Linked DNA regions of Lepisosteus oculatus. The main gene of each other region encodes a partner of the protein of the gene in region 2 in a complex. Links are inferred from orthologs where the notes say so. Each region holds a gene or a part of one and is shown on either strand. Other genes may lie near its edges. The genes, in order: prozb and serpina10a.

Region 1 (10,116 bases), on a different chromosome or scaffold from region 2:
GAAATATAAATGGTGTTTGCTGCGGTTGTAAAAAAAAAAAAAATCCACTGCATCTGAATTGACCTAAGCAACACATGCACTTGCTATATAGCAAATACATGGCATACAGGAGTCTCGACCCTTACTGTGTCAGACAGGATTACAGGTGAGCTATTTGTAAAGGTGGGCAGCACCTCATTGATGAATTAAGCAAGAACATGGCTCAATTAACAGGCCTCTGGTACCTAGAGGAGGGTCCTCTGATTAGCGTCACCTATGACCTTTATAGTACTAATTTAACAGATCACTTGCTGAATTGGTAACAGTTACATTGTGCTAAGTCTTGGGGTGTTAGTGTAACCTATAAAGCCACGATTGCTGGAAAGCGTCTCTCCAGGACAGTGTTCATCACTGACATGGATCAGTATTGCATTTTTTCCCCCATGATAGACAGCTTTCACGTTGACAGATTAATTCCCAGTCAGTGAACACTGTTGCTATCAATACCGCGTCAGCTGGTGAGTTCAACAGTGTTTACCAGTTTCACAGTTTGCCCCCCTGTAAAGCTCCATGCATTTGCACTCGTATCCTCCAACCTGGTCAGTGCACGTCCCTCCGTGCTGGCAGGGGTTGGGACTGCACTGGTCACCATCTGGGAAGAGGGAAACAGGGTCATCTACACTCAAGTCAAAGGGCGAAGAACCCGGGATTTCGCTTTTGAGTCACAGCAATGTTAAACCATCCCTGTCTTCAGCACGCCAAAACATTTTTGGAGATTATGAACGACCAAAAAGGGAAACAAGTATGAGTATTTAAGGAAATAACTTCTCACATGGTGCTCAGATGCAATGCAACCTACAGATCCGGATGATTAGATCTGGTCTATACATCTGTCCGTTTGCTGGAGCCTATCCCAGCATGCAACAGGCACAAGGCAGGGTCCACCCTGGACAGGATAGAAAATCTGGAGGAAAGCAGCCCTTCAGCACAAGGATTGTACAAATCTCGGCTGTAAGTAATAAGGTATTACTTAGTCATGAGAGCTAAAGGCCCTTTTTTGCTTTTCAGTTCGGCTAAAATGCCTTGAGTGTATTATCAGTGCAGTATCATGAAGTATATATCTACGTATTATATAAGTATATAATCTATATATTGTACTATCTTACAGTATGTTATCATTAAGTGTTGGTGCATGGTGTGCCCTGTGTGGATCAGTATAATATGTGATAAATAACTGATGGATGCCAGTCCATGCACTCACACCAGGGCCAATTAACGTGCCAGCATGTCTTTGGACTGCGGGAGGAAACTGCGGAGAGCATTCGAACTCCACACAGACCGCACCCCAGCATGAGGCAGCAATAGTTCAGGTGGGTAGCTGCGTCAGCATGCGTAGGCTGCAAAGGAACAAGTAATAGGTTTATTCCATGCTGAAAAAAAGAAGAAAGAGAACAAAACATTTCGGCCGTGGAGCCTTCTTCAGGTGTGAGAGAGACAGGGCAGTAGGCAAAGGTAAAGTAGCGGGAGAACAAAGGTTGGGAGGGAGGAGGAGTGAGAGGCGGGAGCAGGGGACAGAAAGAGAGGCCAATCAAGAGGTGTGAAATGAAACTTCCAATGAATGGAGAAAATTTAAAAGAACAGTAATCTGTCGTTAAGGGAAGGGAGAATGTGTGATCCTAGCTGCAGAATAATTTTAGTTTCGGTGGTCTTTCTGATGTATGAGTTCGGAAAACCATCTTGGAGAACACAGACGGAGAGATTAGAGTGGTCGTGGCCGTCAGAGGTGAAATGAGAAACAATGGGCTTGGAGAGATCTTTAATCTTCACAGCCCTGACGTGTTCTCTGAAGCGGTCTCCGAGTCTCCTTCGTGTTTCTTTCTTCTTTTTTTTCAGCATGGAATAAACCTATTACTTGTTCCCATGAGGCAGCAATGCCAGCCAGCGCTCCACTGTGCCTCTGACAGGCGTTCTAGGGAATCTTTATTTTTCATTATGAGAAGCGCACTTTCAATGAGCTAAAGAGCTGGTTAGGAGAGAAATATGGAAATGCCGTAAATATGCTTAAACTACATAAGAAATATTGAAGAAATGTGTGTAATTATCCAGAAAGTTAGATATGCATGAAACATCACCGACATTTCGTTCTGTAAGAACACCATTCATACCTTTGTAAACGGCCCAAAATTTGTTCTAGAAAACAAACACAAAAAAAACAGACTTTAGTTCAACTCTGCAGGACATTACACCTTACAGCTCTGTTTGAAGACACTTTGAATAAAATAATTTCTAGAAATAGCCAGCAGCACAGTTCTGTGGTTTGGTTAGGCAAAGAGGGGTGATCACAGACTTTTAGAAGGAGTGCTGGGAGTTTTGTGGAACAGGTTGTGCTTTGGGAATGTTTTATGGGACTTATGGTTCATGTTTTACTCTAGTCTGTGTAAAGGGCAGAAATTAGAGATATGTAGTTAAGGTGAACGTTTATAGTTTTTTTCTAATTAGATACCTAATGTATCTGAACAAATTGGAATACTTCAAAAGTAATAAGATCGTTGCAGATAATAATTACGCAAAAAATACGGATGACACCCGAAGAAGGCTCATCAGCCCAAATGTTAGATTTCTTCAAATTTTCAACTTAGAAATAAACTTTACTTGTGCCATTGCTGCCAACACTGAGACCCCATCCATACCCTTTTTGCATTTACTGTATAATTGGTAATAGCAGTATAAACTATCATAATATTTTCAATCTGCTGAATCCACGTGTGACATTTAGTTTATATCATGACAATCATTTGCTGTTGCAAAAGCAAGAGGGCTGTCTTAAATCACCTACAGCGCATACACACTAATGCCGTAGTTTGAATCAAATTGCACGCTGGCCCTGTGCCTGCATCTGTGCAGTCTGTTACCCCTGGAGGAAAGGGCTTAACCAGGCCAGCGAGTGAGTTACAAAAAGCAGCAAAGCAGCTTTGGTCCATGCATTTCAAAGAAAAATACGAACCGTTTTGTCTGTGTCTTCAAAAACTTCTCTGGCTTCCTCATAGGTGCAGAGTTCTTCATGGCACTCTCTTTCCAAGTTGCCCTTTAGGATCTCCTCGACGAGCATGAAGTTCGCACGCTTAGTTCTTCGGAGGATCTGGGCGGCTTCCTCCTGGGTCTGAAAGACTGGAAGAAAAGCGACGCTCTGCAGTGACCTGTTTCTTTCCGTAGCGCCGCAGCAATGAGCGTGAGGCAAGTGCACAACGGCATCAAGCTGGGACTGTTTGTGTCACGACCAAGAAACACAGCAGCCCCCCGACTCGGTGCCTTCAGCCAGGAAGAGTTCTCACATTGCGCTTCCCTGCCATTTATTCTTCTTATTTACTATTGTTGTCATCCTGTAAAGCGCTTTGAGAAGCCACCTTTAAAGGCGCTATATAAAATAAAGTTTATTATTATTAAAGTTTATTATTGTCGATTCAGGGTCACATAAAGCTTTATTCCGTGCTGAAAAGAGAAAAAAGGAAACACAACATTTCGGCTGTGGAGCCTTCTTCGGGTGGTGTGTTCCCTTTCTTCTCTTTTCAGCACAGAATAAACCTTCAGGCGTTGCTTTGCAGCCTACTTGAACTACATTGTCGATTTAGCTGCGGATACCGAAATTCAAATTTTCCAAATCTCGCAAACAATTGGGTTTTTATTGGGTTTAACATCATCCATCCCATTTCCTCCCTGCGTTATCCGATACAGGGCCACGAGGAGCTGAAGCCTGACCCGGCAAGCCACGGACACAAACACAGGATACACCCTGGACAGGACTCCAGACCATCGAAGAGTGCACACAGACACCTACCAGCACAAGCAGAAACCCACACAAGCACAGGGAGAACATACAAACTCCACACAGACAGCAGGCTGGGAAGTGAACCCAAGCACAAAGTCCCTTTAGAACTAGCCTGCGATTTCCACTCTCTGTTGATTAACCCAGTTCATGAGAAATATTGATCAGCGTCATGAATTTGCCAAGTCTGTTCAATGACAAGTCAGTGTAGCTGCTACAATTTATTTCCCTGAAGTCCATCTGTTAGATGCTCGTGTTTCTCTTGCTGAATGTATTAGATGATATACAGTACACACACCGTACTGTAATACAGTAGTATATACAGACTATAAGAGAAGTGTGACAGTGCCAAATGCAGACCAGAATGAAGACAATCATCTTCAGTCAGGTGTAGCATGCAATAGCTTTCAATCCCAAATCAAAAGCAGCAAAGGTCTCTCATGACTACAGGGATGTGCTGTTGTGTTTGTCTTTCTCTCATTGAGGTCTTTTGTCTTGAAATGAAAATGGGAAAGATATCTTGAAACGGGCCAGTGGAATATTCTAATAAAGAACTAAAACTGAAATGAAAGAAACCAAAAACATACAAAAACTTTTGACAAAAACATTTTTGGTTTAAGTCTGATCTCTTACTCTGAAATGAATCCTGCTGTACTGTGCAACTTACTTTTCTTAAGTCAGCAACACTGGGTGGCCTTTGTCTAAAATCTTCAACAGTATAAATTAGTGTGCTGAACACAAAATCACAACATTTCCTGATAAGAAGCTTAGAGATTCGTGAAGCTTACATCTCTTTTCAAAGTGAAAACCCTTTACAAGAATCAAATAAAAATGCAATAAATGCTTTATTGTTCCTGATCACTACTCTTAAAATGTTAAATCCAAGAATAAGTCTTGCCAACTGTAACACGCAGATTTGACGTTGCACTGTTAGTGTATACGTATGTCGACATTACAAAAACATTTTTAAATAGCAATAGAAAAGTATTACCTTCATAATCAGCACCAGTTATGGAAAAGAACCCCACAAGTGTCAAACATAAAAACCAGTCCAAAGACACCATGATGACACCAACCTATTCAGATGCTACTGTACAAAGAGCTTAAAACAAAACCTTCACTCTGAGGACAAAGATCACCAATTCTTACTCGGAGTATTGCATAACCTTTCTGCATTGGGGCAATATTTGGTTTAAAGCAGGGGTGGACTTTACATTGCTCACTGTTTTAAAACATTGCTTTTCAACTGCTGCTAGAAAAGAAAGAATATCCTTAGTAATACCATTATAAACATTGCACTATTTTGTTTTTAAACATGACACTAAATCAGAGAAGCTAAAATAATCTAGAATCTGGTATAGTTTGTAATCTAGTCAGGTTCACAGGTTCTGTTCATCACCCCTCTGCTCCTACTGTATTCAGTACCCCCATCTACTGTCTCAATTCATCATGCATATCCTGTGTAATTTGTTTATTGTTACTGTCATTCTTTAAAGAGCTTTGAGAAGCCACCTTTAAGGGTGCTATATAAATAAAGTTTATTACTGTCAGACATTTCAGATGTTCAGTTAATTGTAAGCTGTAAACACAACTAAATAAACAAGAAATAATGAAATAATAAATGTAAAGTGAAAAAATCATTTCACATAATCATATTGCACCCCTGCTACTGCTATTCAGCATGATCAGTGACATAGTTTAAGATGCACATGGATAGAATTGTTAAAATTTATCCTCATGTAAATTGCATTTTTGTCCAGTTGGTGTCAGTGTTTTCAAATGGTTGAATATATGTACTGTAGGCTTTGGGTGTTTTTATTAGTACATGATTATCAAGATGTCAAAAAGAATTGTCCCTAATATTAACTTCTTGTAATGCTGTAATTTTTTCTACTGTGTTTCTTATGATGAAACGTCTACACATTGCTCATGTAAGGTGTACATGTTTTATCAAGGTTTCATTTCTGTCCATTATAGTTTTATTTTTGTAAAGACAGTACAATGAATACACATGTGAAGTGCACCAAACTAAGCAATGCGCACTTCAATGAAAGGAAAGGGTGCAATTATATTTCTCAAAGGACATTCCAAGCACAGAACATCACATGCATCAGTTTAATTTTAGTACTGACATTGTGTTTTTGTCCATGGAAAACTACTTTTCACTTTTTAGAAAAATGTCCTGTTGATAAAGTGGTGATAGTGATATGTTTATAGTGGTAGTGATAAATTTGTTCCAGACTGTATGTATTCTGGGGTTAAATGGGAAGATCTGCCTGTTTTCCAGGTTTGACCTTTAACAGTAAGCAATCATTTGTCTGGCTGAGGATTGTTTTTCTGTTAAAAGCTACCTGCTTTGCTGGTCTGTTTGACTGGAACATACAGTACTATCGACCAATTCAAGGTCAGAGTTCAGTCGCTATTACAGTATTTCTCCTGAATTCAATGTTTTTAATGAACAGGGATCTGAATTTTGGTCTAATCTAGCTTTGAATCGAGCTACCTGGTTACTTTTTAACAAACTACTTAACTTCTATTCAAACATTTTTGCTGCAAATGTGTACAGTTTGCCAGAATTATATAAGTTGTATGACTTTGTGATCACCCCTGTAACTGGGAACCTTTGGTATCCATTTTTTTTGTACAATGATCATTCCCCCTGGAGCGACATAGATTAGAGCCATACCACAGTATGATTACTTATATGTATAATTTCTGTTTGTATAAAGTCATTCAGAACAGGTTTAGAAAATAAATTCCAGAAAGCACAATTATAATAAAGAATGAACCCACTGATATAGTTTGTGAACAGCAGATATTTGGGTACTGGAACTTGAAGAGGAAAATAAATGGACAAGATTTGTTTATGTAGACTTGTCAAAATCTTTTTTTTGAGATAATTCAATAATGCAATAAAAACGAGAGGAAAGTGGTAAAATATGTTCTCTACATTTGAACCACAGTGGAGCTCAGTTTAAGGAACTGGGACTCTTCCCTTTTGTCAGAAAACATCATTACAATATATATAAATTCTTTAACAGAAATAAAAGAGGTTAAAATAACTCCTAGGATCACTCTGAGGTGGTTTTTCCACCAGTACAACATTTCCTCCACTGTTTCTATGCCCCCTTAAAATGACCAGACTAAAAGTGGAAAGAAACTGTAATAACTACCATAATAACGGCCAGGAGCCGTTTGGACTGTGGGGTACAATGGTCTGAAAATGACTCTGTTGGCATTTTCAGCCTGCAAATGAGGAGACAAAAAGATTTGATAAAAAATATTTAAAAAAATGAAACTGACGAAATGATCAATTAGAGGGATTCAAAAGGTTTACAGGGACCAGGGGACACTGTTACATATAGGATAGTGAGAAACAAGGACATTTAGAGCTGAAAATACTGTTAGATGCACAAGGATCAAAAAGACAGTAGGAACCAAGTGGCCTAAAGACGGGCTGATCTTGTACTCCTTCATGCTCTAAAGAAATCTTAGAATCTAATTTAATTTCAAATGACACAAATCAGCCGGCAGCCATACCTCCCTGCAGCTCTCAGTCTGGTCAGCACCTGGATGGGAGACCCCCTGGGAAAGCTGCTGGGAGAGGTGTTAGTGGGGCCAGTAGGGGGCGCTCACCCTGCGGTCTGTGTGGGTTCTAATGCCCCGGTATAGTGATGGGGACACTATACTGAAGTGGCACTGTCTTTCGGATGAGACTTTAAACCGAGGTCCTGACTCTCAGTGGTCATTAAAGATCCCCGGGCATTTCTCGAGAAGAGTAGGGAGTTATCCCAGTGTCCGGGCCAGATTTCCCTCCTCGGCCTTTACCGTGGCCTCCAAACTGTCCCCATGTATGACTGACCTGCACTGGCCCTGCGATGGACTGGCGTCCTGTCTAGGGTGTACCCTGCCTTGCGCTCGTTGCTTGCCAGGTAGGCTCCGGCCTCCCGCGACACCGTAGGGTATAAAGTGGTTTTGGCAAATGCCATGACACAACACAAATCAAAATGAATTTGTCATTTCAGCGTTTTCACTTCTGATGAGAAAAATCACTTCTAAAAGTCCTTTGATCAGTATGGTGGGGTGGGGTGTGGCACGACCGCCTCACAGCCTGTAGGTCTTGTGTTCAGCTCTGGACTGGGGAGGCATCTGGCTGAAGTTCATGTTCCCTCTGTGTTTGTGTGGCTCTTCTCCGGTTGACTCTGACCCTCCCAGGGTCTCACAGTTGTGTGCAGTGTGAGTGACGCAGTGCCATTCCATTCACAGAGCAGTGCTGGAGTGCACCTTGTTCCCCTGAGATAGGCTCCAGGTGGGGCCCCCCCCTCACTGGGAACCAGCAGCATTCCGATGATGAATGTGTCACATATACGATGATTTTGCATTTGCAATGATCTCAGGTCAGATTTATTTCAGAAAGACGCTCGATTTCATTTAGCTCTATGTAGAAATTGATCAAGTAGAAGCCTATCACCGATACACCCATCCGTGTATCATTCAAGCGAGATCTGCTGTTTCTCAGGGATGCTAGATTGGCATGAAGGAATTCACGTGCACAGGGAGTGAAACTGCACTGGGAAACTGGTGAGGTGTAGAGGATGTTTCTATTGCTTGGAGAGCTAGAGGAAGGCAGCCACGTTCCATAACTAATACAGCAAAAAAAGTATCTGAAAGGGATAAAAGCACATTGTTTAGGATATATTTCTAGTGTATTGAATACTGTACTGTAGATGTGTTACTGACATACCAAGCACCGCTAACATTTCAATCATCTGGTATTCAAGCCCCAGATGTACAAAATCAGCAAACGAGACCTTTAATGCTTTCTGTAAACAGCGTCTTCATTTAATTTCTTTTCAGGGTTATTCCACTGCCATGGAAAAAGACTGAGATACAGAGCCACGCTTAAAATTCACACATTACTCAATTCATCAGATACTGAAATTAGTAGTATTAGTCATTCTGTTTGCCCGGTGTAAAATCGTGAACAAATCAGAAGCAAAGGAAAGGTCATGCTTTACTGAAGTACTTAATAACTGCTTTGATCCATGGAAGGAACTTGGACACCTGCGTGTAGACCCCATATTTGCCTTCCCTGGCACAGCCCTCCCCCCAGCTCACTATCCCAGTGATGAACCACGTGTCTTTGTACTGTGTGACATGGGGACCGCCACTGTCCCCCTGGCAGGCATCCTTGGCTACCTTGTCATAGCCAGCGCAGAACATGTTAGCGGAGATCTGGGCCTGACTGGACTCGATGCACATGAGCCTGTCCACGTAGGGCACAGTGAGCTTCTGGAGGATGGTGGACTGCCTGCCTCTCTCGTGAGTGCGCCCGAAGCCACTGATCTGGGCGTCGTTCTGCTTCATCAGGACCTTCTCGGCGAAATCTTTCTCCGGAAGGCAAGCCGGAATGATGAACTTGGTGAATTTGACGGGCTCCTTCAGCTTGATGATGGCTATATCGTTGTCGTAGGTGTCCGTGACGTACTTATTGTGAATGATCACTTTCTCCACGGGATATGTTTCCTCACTGTCATCAGTCTTTTCTGTGTCATAGTCCCCTGAAATTTAGGGATATAAAAGTTTGAATTTATATGTAATTTACGGCATAAATATGAACGGTTGTTCTAGTGCTGTATATTTTATTATTAGCTAATACTTTTCAAAAATCAAAGTTCCCATGGAACCTTTTCTGAAGAAACAGTGAATATTTATTTTAAAGCATATTAGGTCTATTTTTCAATATGTTAAAAAAAGCTTTATGTTTTCATCATAATACATTTGGCTTAACATGCTGAGCTGAAGGCAAACAAATTCCATTTACACTGCATAAAGGGCTTAACACAAGTGAACTGTGTAACTCATTATTAACAATATAACTTGACTATTGGTCTAAACAATATACTGACTGATTAAATATCCTTCACTCTGAAAGAGGAAAAATTAGATAAGGAGACACAAACATTTTATGCTATTGAATCCTCAAATATAATAAAAAAAAGACACATACCAAGCCTTACTGTAAATGACTTAGACTCTCTCATGCAATGTGCGGCTGATAATATAATATGTTCAGTCAGAATGGTCCCACCACAAAATCCTACTCCTTCCTCGTTTATTAAAAGAGCCTAAAAAAGTAAAGACAAAAAGAAAAATAACATGAAAGAGCAAATGACATACCAATGACTTACAATTTGCATCCAGGTAGTGTATTGTTGGTTCAGTCCCGTAAGCTTTATGTACTCTTCATAACTGATGTCTTTTATTTTTCATTTTTTTTCTTAATTTCATTCAAATTCTGTCTTAATTTCATT
Region 2 (10,224 bases):
CTTCAGTGCCCTTCTCGTCCACTTCTATCACTGCCTTGTGAAGGACCTGTAATCAGAATAGAAACAGTGACAGCTTTCAACAAAAGCTACAAATTAAAGGTTTGTGCCAAGGATTGCATCTTATTTATCTGTTATCAGACACTAAGAACTAGTACTTTGCATGAGTTTGCAAACATAACACCTAACCAAGGAAGAAAATTGGACTGTGTGAATACAGTACTGTGAAAATGCAAACTCCACTCAGACAGGTGCTCAGAATCAAACAGTGGAGGAGTGAGGTAGAGGTGCCGTACACTGTGCCACAGAAAGCCTTTGCAACAGTTTCTTGATTCTGTTGCCTTTTTGACAGAACAAATGGTTGTGAATAAACTACAGGAGCTACAGGAGCTATTAAAATGAGATATTGTTTCATATCACACTGACCTCAGAAACTTTGAGTCCCACTTCCTTGCTTAGGCCTGAAAGGTCAGCCGTATTTTCAAACACGTTTCGAATGCCCAGATCTGGAAGAATTTTGTCCATGTTGTAGGACTGCTCCATCTTGAACCGAGGCAGCTGTACTTCTAGTTTTCTGCAACACAATGACAGAGTATATATATATATTTATTCTTGGAGCATGATGACATGATATGGATAATCAGCCATAATAGATTTACCTGATACACAGTAACATTTTTGAGGACTGACAATTAAATCAGGCAGCACTTAATGAGTGCTTCTTATTCTGTGTGTTATCCTGTTAGCTTGCCAGTCCACATCCCTGGCTACACAAGAGGGCTGCCCCCCATCAACCTGTATAGCTCCCTCTTTCTGGGAGCTCTGCAGTAGGAATTTGAAGCCGAGAGAGCAATATTCCAAGAGCTAAGGCCCCCTGATCCCAGTCCATGGGCTGAGGTGGGCAGTTTGAATGAGGGCTGGTGTTGTGTAATGCCAGCCTTTCTCTTTTCTCGCCACAGTGAACTTATTATCTCTATTCTTTTTGCTTGCTGACGGGCTAGGGCAATCTTTGCTTCGGTGGCCAGTTCTTAAAGGAAGATTTCTTCCCTTTAATTTTCTCCTGCACCAGTCTGCTTGTCCACCTGCCTGCACCCCAGTCTAATTAACCCAGACTAGGACTGCCCACCAGACCCATGCGGTCCCCTTGTTTTGGGGAGCACAGCAGTAGGTATCCACTCCAAAGTCGAGAGAGCAATTTCCCAAGAGCCAAAACTCCCTGATTCTGATCAAGGACTGAGGTCACCATGCTATCCCTTTTTCCTTTTTTCACCTGCGATGCTGCCAGCCAGCTTCTCTTTAGACTGTAGCAGCTTTGCCCTTTTCTCTTTCTTTACTAACCTGGGCCTGGGCTAATCCCCCCACTGGCCAGTAATGTATCATTGTATTGGCACTACTTTTTACTTCACTTTCCCTCGGCTCAAGCCGAGTTGGATCTTTGGGTGTTTCATCCACTCTCCATTTTCTTGCTCTTGGGTTCAGTTTTGAGTATTCAGATGCCTTGTAACAAAGTTATGTAAAGGTACAGAAGAGTATAAATTCACTTCAAAGACTCTAATATCTCCTTGTGCATGGGTAAGCTGATCATTAGGAAGTGGAAGGCAGCCTGTCCTTGAGCAGCTCAGTTAATGTCTTGACCTGAATCCTATTGAGAGCCCGTGGAAAGACTTGAAAACTGCTATCCACAAGTGACCAGGGTGATCATAAAAAAAATGAAGTATACTGATTTTGGATATTGATTAAATGTTTCTTTTCTTACTGCCAGCGGCCATATCACCCTGCAACTCACAACTGTTAACCCACTGAAGCTAAGCAGGTGTGAGCCAGGTCAGTACCTGGATGGGAGAACTCCTGGGAAAAACTAAGGTTGTTGCTGGAAGAGGTGTTAGTGGGCCCAGCAGGGGGCGATCACCCTGCGGTCCATGTGGGTCCTAATGCCCCAATATAGTGACGGGGACACTATTCTGTAAACAGGCGCCGTCCTTCGGATGAGACGTAAAACCGAGGTCCTGATTCTCTGTGGTCATTAAAAATCCCAGGGCGTTTCTCGAAAAGAGTAGGGGTGTAACCCCGGTGTCCTGGCCAAATTTCCCATTAGCCTTTACCAACCATGGCCTCCTAATAATCCCCATCTATGAATTGGCCTCATAACTCTGCTCTCCTCCCCACTGATAGCTGATGTGTAGTGAGCGTTCTGGTGCACTATGGCTGCTGTCGCATCATCCAGGTGGATGCTGCACATTGGTGGTGGTGGTGGGGAGTCCCCATTACCTGTAAAGTGCTTTGAGTGGAGTGTCCAGAAAAGCGCTATATAAGTGTTAGCAATTATTATTATTATTATCCTCAAGCAACTTGAGAGAGCTTGAGCAAATCTGCCAAAAAAGATGGTTAAAATTGCACTATGTTTGAATCCCAAATGAATCTGAATACCTGTGCAATCAACAGATTTCATTTTTTTCTCTTTATTTTTACTGACATTTACTGACATTAATCTTACCCTGACACCTCTTCAGTTCGAGCATTCAGGTTTAGAATAAAACATTAAATTGAAAAAGAGGTGTGCGTTTTGTAATTCTGCAAAATGGGACAACATCAGAGGAGTCTGAATACTTTTGCAAGGCTCTGTAAGGTTTGCGTGTACCTTTCCAGTTTTCCAACTAAATACATTAAAAAAGAAAGCACTTATTAGAGGTCTGCTTACGTTTTCTTCAGTTTCTGTATCCATCCCAGAAAGCTCTCTGCAGAGATTTCATCATCGATGGATGTATAGTCAACACCCTTGTCAGGAAGAAGGACCAGCATTGCAGCATGGCCTCTGTATGGCAACTTTAGAATGCCGAGCTTCAGCACAGGATCGTAGGCCAAGTAATATTTATCTTCTCGGAACATCATGGGGACCTTGACAATATTGTATTTGTCAACATAAAATCGTGCTTCCTCTGTAAAGCTGGAGTTAAATGGTAGCTCCCATTTGCCTAAACGAAGACAAAGTCAAATCTGTTTAATAACAAATGAAATCTGAGTCAATGCCAACTTGTCAGGAAGTTTCATGTTTTTCTTTTTTGGGTTTCTTTTTTATTATAATATATAAACAGACACAACATAAATAATATGTATTTAAACAATGTAGAACACTTTTTACATAATTACCTTCAGATTTTGAGCCAATATTAAACTGAAGAGTTCTAGTGTTACTTTCTTCAACCATATCAAAATCTCTATTGTTTAAAATGCTTTACTAAGTAAATTATTTTAAACAATAGAGATATTTGTTGTAGCTACGGCTCTAAATTTTGATTCATTAAAGAAAGGTTTGCTCAAGACATTTCAATTGAGCATCCAGACAATTCTGGGCATTAACATAATATTAATAATATATTTATACTCCATTATATGTTGAATTTCAAACTAAATCATAAAAACATCAAATCTGAACGGTAAACCTGTAATCTCTTCATTATCCTCATTTTACCATCTGTGAGGTTGCTACAGTATTATTATTCACCCACCTTGGAAAAGAATGGTATTTACAAGCACCAGCTGAGTAAGAGGATCTATCTGACTGATGAGCCCCATGACCTTTTCATTCGTCTTCATTTTTACATAATCATTAATGGTTGTTTTGCTAGCTTCGGTCTTGGAGAAATCTATGTTCATTATATCTGAGTTGAAGAACTTCTTGATTTGCTCACTGAAAATCTTATCAATTTCAAACTGCTGATGAACAAACATAGCACTGCCCCGGGCCAGTATCAAGTCTTGGTTTTGGGTGATATTGGCTTCCAGTTGTCGGAACAGTTCAGGGATCAGGTCTGCCTGGTCCGCTCGTTGAAGCAGTTGGAGGTTGAGACCCTTAAGGATCTGATTGTAAGTATCCCCTTTTGCAGCCATCGATAGCATGGTGAATGCTACTGACATGCACAAAGGGGAGAAGAAGATGTTGTCATCATGATGGCTGGCAAGCTTCCTGTAAAGGTTCATAGCAAAATCTGTGTTTTTTGTAGACAGGTCCATGATAGTGGGATTTTCCTTCTGACCTTTGCTCAGGGGGGCAAAGAGTGAGGCACATACCAGAAAAAGAAGTCTTGTCTTCATTTTGATTTCACCCCTACAGACACAATAAAATGCAACATAAGGCAGGGTGTGAGGCATTTGTGCAGTTTTAATTCTCAAGCAATGAAAACATGCTAGTAAAAAGCAAAATATAATATGTTTGCATTGTGTAATGCTCCAATGCAATGTAAACATTACATACATGTACAGTACATGTAGTTCTGTTCAAAGGTTTGTAAAACCACAAATTTTACATAAATTTAAGTCATAATTTTGAATTATTACTTAAATATAGAATTGATGATTAATAAGTAAGTCATTCCGATATCTATATATTCTTCATCTGAACCTTATCTCACATATTTTGAGGTCAGTATTGTAGGAGAACTATGTTTTACCGGCAGATTAATGACAGAGACCCCACTCCTCGTGGATTTGGCAATTTAGCATAGCTAATCAATCTACCAGGTTTCGTTAAGAAGAGAGGGGAAACCAGGCACACCTGGAGAAAAATCATGCTTACTGTACAAAGAGAAAATGCACATATAACATACTGTAGAAAGCCACCCAGCATGCACAACAGCCTAGAATTGAACCCAGATCCCTAAAGCTATGATGCTTCACTTACTACCCTGGTTTATTTCAGAGATATTTTCTTTACACTATTAGTAGTTTAACATGTTTAAACACGGAATTGACAATTTTCTCGCAAATGCAATATTGTGATTTACTCCTCCTTTTACCACCATAGTACACCATAGTACAGCTATATTGTAAATCCGACTTAAAGATTAAATAGAATGATGATGTTTAACTTACAATATTTGGCTTCTGTTCCTGCTTCTCTACTTTTTTTGTCTCAAAAGTGTCTTACAGGCAAAAGAAAATACCCAAATATAATGTTTAGAGGAGCAAAGTGCAAGTGTACTTTTGTGGTTGTCTATTAACTATTTTGTAAATAATGGCCAGCTTTTTTCAAGAGGTTCAATGCTGGGTGGCTCAGAAAAACTCAGGTTTCAAATCTTTCTGGACAAAAACATTTTTAATATGACAGTGGGAATAATATTTAAGAGTGAAAATGAATGAACAATACTGATATTATTCATTGTTTACACACCTTTGAACAGTAGTGCACATTATGCTACGCAGAGTTTAAATGATTGAAAAAATCATTTGTTTTTATGCACATTATTTTGTTAATACACAACATATTAACTGCTTGGTGCTTTCATTTATTTCTAAACAGCTGAACTTTCTGAAACGTCATGAAACAAATCATTTAGGCCTCTTGTGAAACGTAAAGTCGTACTTTTTTCAGGTATATCTTTGTATCTACTGTTCAGTCTACTAAAACAATTATGGAAACACACATAGGACATGCATGCAGAAGTCACAGATATTGACTAATCAAATATATTTTTAATACACTGCAATGTAACATGGGGAATTTTAACAATGAAATCTACAAATACAAACGTAATAAGCCGGACAGTGCATTTGTATGAAATATGAGATTGTGCTTAAGCAGAGTGTAGACATTAAATACATAACGCTAGGTTTTCATTTCACAAAACAGTTTGGAAGCATTGTGGAATGGTGATCCAATATTCTAGCAGTAAACCTATACAGACCAAAGAATATTCTCTGATTTTTTTTATCTTTCTCTAAACTAAAAATTCTTCAAAGTAAAAAACAATTATAGGTGGAGAATATTCACATTACTCTCCGTGTGATAAATCGTTTTAGGGATGATCTTTTTCTGATAAATTATTCTCTTTTATCTAGAATATCAGAATAAATGATACAACCATTCTGTCTAACCATAAACCCATTAGTTTTAAAATTTCACATAAATATGATTTAAATATACACCTTTCAGATAGCATTTTTATCTATTTTTAAAAAAAAGATGAGGACTTTTTTTAAAATAGAATAACTTCACAGAATTTAATGACATCCTTAAATCTGAACAAATACCCACTCAGCTCTGGGAGATGACCAAGTTGGTTTTAAAAGGAAGTGTCAAGCTGTCTCATATGGAACAAAATTCAAGCAGGAAGGAAAGTAAGGCACTCTCAAACTTTTTGAACCTACAGTACATTTGCTGAATCACCTACAATTGCAAAATCATAAAAATGCTAAAAGTGAAATATAGGTTAAATAGAATGTCCGAAGGAATATTTATGTTAATCAAGTTAAGACAGATTATCAGTATATTAAATGTATATGTATAAATTATATATATTTTGTGTTTAATGAAAAAAAAAGAAAATCCCTCTATCAGATAACTAGCAATCACATGGAGAAACATCATTTCTTTTAACATCAGTGCCAAAACTTCATAACACTACTCGAAAACCTTCATGCAGCCAATTGTGAGACATGGTGCCAGTCTATAATCTCAAGTGTTGGTTCATAATTTCTTTAGCCCTTGTGCAAACATGACACTTGATAATTGCTTTCAGGAAAGTACATCACTGTGCAATTTAGTTTTGCAGGAGCTGGTATTCTATTGTGTTATTTGCGCAGTTTGATCCTCCTGCTGTTACAGAAGCGTTGAGACAGGAGGGAGTTCTTGAAAGCTTCCCTCTGTTGGAGTTATTAGTGGTGGTAATTAGTCTTTCCCTCCCAGCTGTACTTTCTTCACATCTCCAGATGCCAGCAACATGGAAAATAGGGCACAATGGCATCAGTCGGTGCACTATGTCTAGCTTCTAATTTCCAATGGAATTGAATATATAAATTGTGTTAACAAATAATTTCCATTCTTTCACAAACTTTGTTCGATTTTTTATTTTTAAAAACCTTGCTAATATTAAATCTGAATAACAAATTTTGGCTATTACAAAAAGGTTTGAGAAGCAGTCTGACGAGCAGCTTTTGTGTAATAATTGGTAGGGATTTTAGCCTTATTTGAAAAGCAATGGTCGTTTTCTACTATTGTAATGCAAAATCACCTCTTCAGCCCTCTCACGATGGCCTAAGTAAGGGCCAGTTCTTATTGCAGGTTTCTTTTTTCCTCAAAGAGGTTATGTAAAACTAGCTCATCTCTTTTCCAATTATGTAAAAGTCAAGGGATTTTTCTGGCTGTTAAAAATGAAGGATTTCAAAATAGAAAAATGCAAAGTTGATATGAGATTAGAATTCAAGCAACAGAATAATAGTGCAACCTTCCATGTCACAAAAAGGTACAACTTTACAAAGAAAAAGATGTTTCTATTTGCAAAGTTCTAGGTTTCTGAAAATCTGAAATTTAGTAAAAATGAGACCACCACTATATTTAACATGTACAGTATACATTGCAATCCTCTGGAGATCTTTTGGTAAAAAAGTATACATAAGCTGCACATTATAAAGGGAAAAAATGAAGAACAGACTGGCATGGAAAAAAAGGTTTATTTATGGGAAGAAAAGGTTTTCAAAGTAGACAATCATGTGGCAATGCAGTTTACATTTAAAAAAATCAAATAATTTAAATATCTCTAAAACTGTTAAGATCTGCCGCACTAATAAATGCCAAAACAAAATCCTAAACCTTTTATGTTCAGAGTGATCCCAGTAATAAACAAAATAAACAAAACATTAAATCATGATATGAAAACTATTAAAACAAAAGACAACCTGACCCTTTTAACTTTTTACTAATTATGTATACCTCAGAACTTAAAAATGTGAGAAATATAAATGATAAGAAATTTTACATCCGGAGAACTTTTAACCGAAACCTACATACTTTGAAAATTGGCACCTCTTCTTGGACCAAATAAATGTAACATCAACGTAAACGCACAAAAAAGTAAACACTTCATAGCCCCTACAGTAAATTATAATAAAATAGTGTTAATTATTTTTTATCTAGGAGGTTTAAAACATAATGTACAGTAAGGTAAATAGTAAAGTTATGGTGATGTATGAATTTTTTACAAAATCAGATTCCTAGCGGAAAGACTTTAAATGATAAAGCCTCATAAATTAATATCGGAAGAAAGAAGTTCTCCTTTTAGTTATGGCCAATGAGTAAAGACCTTTTCCGATTCCTAGGAGACTTAATTAATGCTATTTTTTTACGGTTTTCTGAAAACAGAATCTATCATTCTTTTATCTGTCAAGATTTGACACCCTTTCCAACAGGATTCTGGGAGGAGTTGGGGGGGGGGGGGATCTGAACTGACCGTATCGGACAAAGGATTCATTCACATGTGGTCCCATACCTTTCCAAAAGGGACAGTCTGGACACCTTGTAGATCCATCATGTACCCTGTTTTTCAGAAACTGCAAATTCCCCTTTCCCTTCTACTTACATTGATTAATGCATTTTGCACAAACATGCACATTTTTGAAGGAGAATGACAAAAACCAAATAAAATAAACGACAAGGTGCTGAAGCAGAAGGCCGTCATGGACACGGAATGGCAGTTATACAGTTACAGGATCGCAAACCCCCACCCTCGGTTTTCCTTTCCAAGTATCTGTAAACCCAGTCCTCCGTCAACACGCTCTGTGCTCATGCATTGGGTCAACCAGCTGCTACAGTTCAGCAGAACAGAAGGACGGGCATTGCGAAGAGTACTCTGGGACTGACCACTGGATTCTCCATGTTTTACTGACTTGTCTTGGAGTCAGGCTGCTCCGGAGTTAGACCTAAGGTTGACTGTGTTGCGTTTTGCTCATTTGGAGCCTCCCCTGTTTAAACAGTGCAAAGCAGACAAACATAACTGGTTTGTAAAGTGTCTGAAGGATTTTAAATTCTCCTCCACAATAACAGAACAATCAAAACAATAAAACTGTAGAGAAGTACTAGGCCTTTTTTTAATCCCCCCCAGTTAAAAATGGAACCGTTTTCTAAGCAGCAATTACACAGAAAGGAGACGCAGGAGACTGGTTGTGGCAGCTCCCATATCATGATTTTATTTTCTTCATGTTTTGGTATTTCCAATTCACACAAATCATGCTTGATCAATACTCTCAGTTTATGTTAGCTAAAACATTTATTGCAATTTACAGCACATTACCCACTTGAATTTCCTGGTGGGTAAACTGTAGAAACATTTAATGAAATAAGTAGGAAGAGTTCAGTTTACCCAGGATTTTCAAAGAGATAAAATAAGGCCCTCATATTCATAAACCCATAATGGAAAATAGATCACAAATCAAAAGTCCTATTGCCACTGATGTGTCTATATTACCTGTGTCATTTGCCAGTGTGCCAGTGCTTTTGCTTTCTTGCTGTTGTGGTGCTGTAGCTCGTGCCTGCTGTGTTGACTGCCTGTCATAAAATGGGATTTATCATTAATATCTTTAATCTACTTCATGTTGAAGAATATCTTGTTGGGTACATTCCTTTCTGGCTTTTGGCTGACCCATTACTTCTAGACAAAAGTCCACCCTGCCTTTTATTCCTACTGTGAACCCCAGCTTCCACTGCAGAGTACACACATAGAATGGAGAGATGTGGCTCACACTGATGACACTAAATGTTCACAGGCACATAGCTCACTGTGATTAAAAAAGGATAACCTGGTAGACTGGTGCTTGATCAATTGTGTTCTGCTGCTTGGTGAATTATCTACTAATGCCATTGCCTACATGAACCAGTAATGCTTGGTCTAAAAGGTCCAGTATGCTGTCTCATTGAGCACTTCTGCTGGTTGGGTCACCTGGAAGCCTTTTACATACTTGTGAAAAACTTTTTGTATTTTTATGCAGTGTTAATTTCAAGTTCATGTGGTGGAACTAACTTGAAAGGGAATATGAAATAAACTAAAGCCATTTTTATATTCCTGAAGATGGAAAAATACATGTTTTTTTCCCCCAAAATAGGAGTCGTCTAGTTATTTTGTGTCTATCATGTGACACCATCACTCCAGACTGGTGCTACACAGACAGTCCGTAGTTCTCAGAGACACTAAAGGATAACCTGAAAATGAAACAAGGAAAATGGAAAGGTGGACAAACCTACTTGTCAAAATAGGCCTGCCTTCTCTTTCGAAGCTCCTCTGCTGTTAGCGTTTCATTCTGGCCTGATGTTGATGTATGGGCAATATTTTCATCTTTGGGATCAGGAAGCTTAGTGTTGCCTGTAGTACCTGAAGACAGAATGGAAAAAGACGAACAAATCTAGCAAATATGACTGAATTTTTACAACATTTTCTGCTATGAAGGCACTGTGAGGCCAAA

Evidence for each region.
Region 1: the proteins of serpina10a (region 2) and prozb are in contact, whole or in part, in a crystal structure (PDB 3H5C), measured with the Homo sapiens proteins. The link is inferred for Lepisosteus oculatus from reciprocal best matches to the Homo sapiens genes SERPINA10 and PROZ. Residues at the interface, in NP_001094077.1 of Homo sapiens: Arg88, Lys89, Ser91, Met92, His94, Asp95, His257, Asp259, Lys260, Tyr261, Asn282, Phe283, Lys305, Met306, Asp308, His309, Leu310, Ala311, Leu312, Asp314, Tyr315, Leu316; in NP_003882.1 of Homo sapiens: Cys129, Pro131, Cys141, Leu142, Pro143, Ser151, His250, Met251, Arg252, Asp254, Ala257, Glu259, Asn260, Glu284, Lys285, Asp286, Phe287, His290, Leu291, Thr336, Thr337, Arg338, Arg390, Ser392, Leu393, Trp394, Gln397.

What each region holds. Positions count from the first base shown.
Region 1 is NC_090710.1:28,706,581-28,716,696, reverse strand, and holds the start of prozb (protein Z, vitamin K-dependent plasma glycoprotein b), read right to left. Parts: upstream 4,936-10,116; 5' UTR 4,867-4,935; coding exon 4,794-4,866; intron 3,148-4,793; coding exon 2,984-3,147; intron 2,170-2,983; coding exon 2,145-2,169; intron 632-2,144; coding exon 518-631; intron 1-517. Other genes in the region: f10 (coagulation factor X), read right to left, coding at 8,810-9,363, 9,813-9,930. UniProt on the Homo sapiens protein: Appears to assist hemostasis by binding thrombin and promoting its association with phospholipid vesicles. Inhibits activity of the coagulation protease factor Xa in the presence of SERPINA10, calcium and phospholipids.
Region 2 is NC_090703.1:18,767,217-18,777,440, reverse strand, and holds the start of serpina10a (serpin peptidase inhibitor, clade A (alpha-1 antiproteinase, antitrypsin), member 10a), read right to left. Parts: upstream 4,975-10,224; 5' UTR 4,867-4,974; intron 4,103-4,866; 5' UTR 4,090-4,102; coding exon 3,504-4,089; intron 2,970-3,503; coding exon 2,696-2,969; intron 572-2,695; coding exon 424-571; intron 47-423; coding exon 1-46. Other genes in the region: atxn3 (ataxin-3), read right to left, coding at 8,648-8,730, 9,234-9,313, 10,007-10,133. UniProt on the Homo sapiens protein: Inhibits activity of the coagulation protease factor Xa in the presence of PROZ, calcium and phospholipids. Also inhibits factor XIa in the absence of cofactors.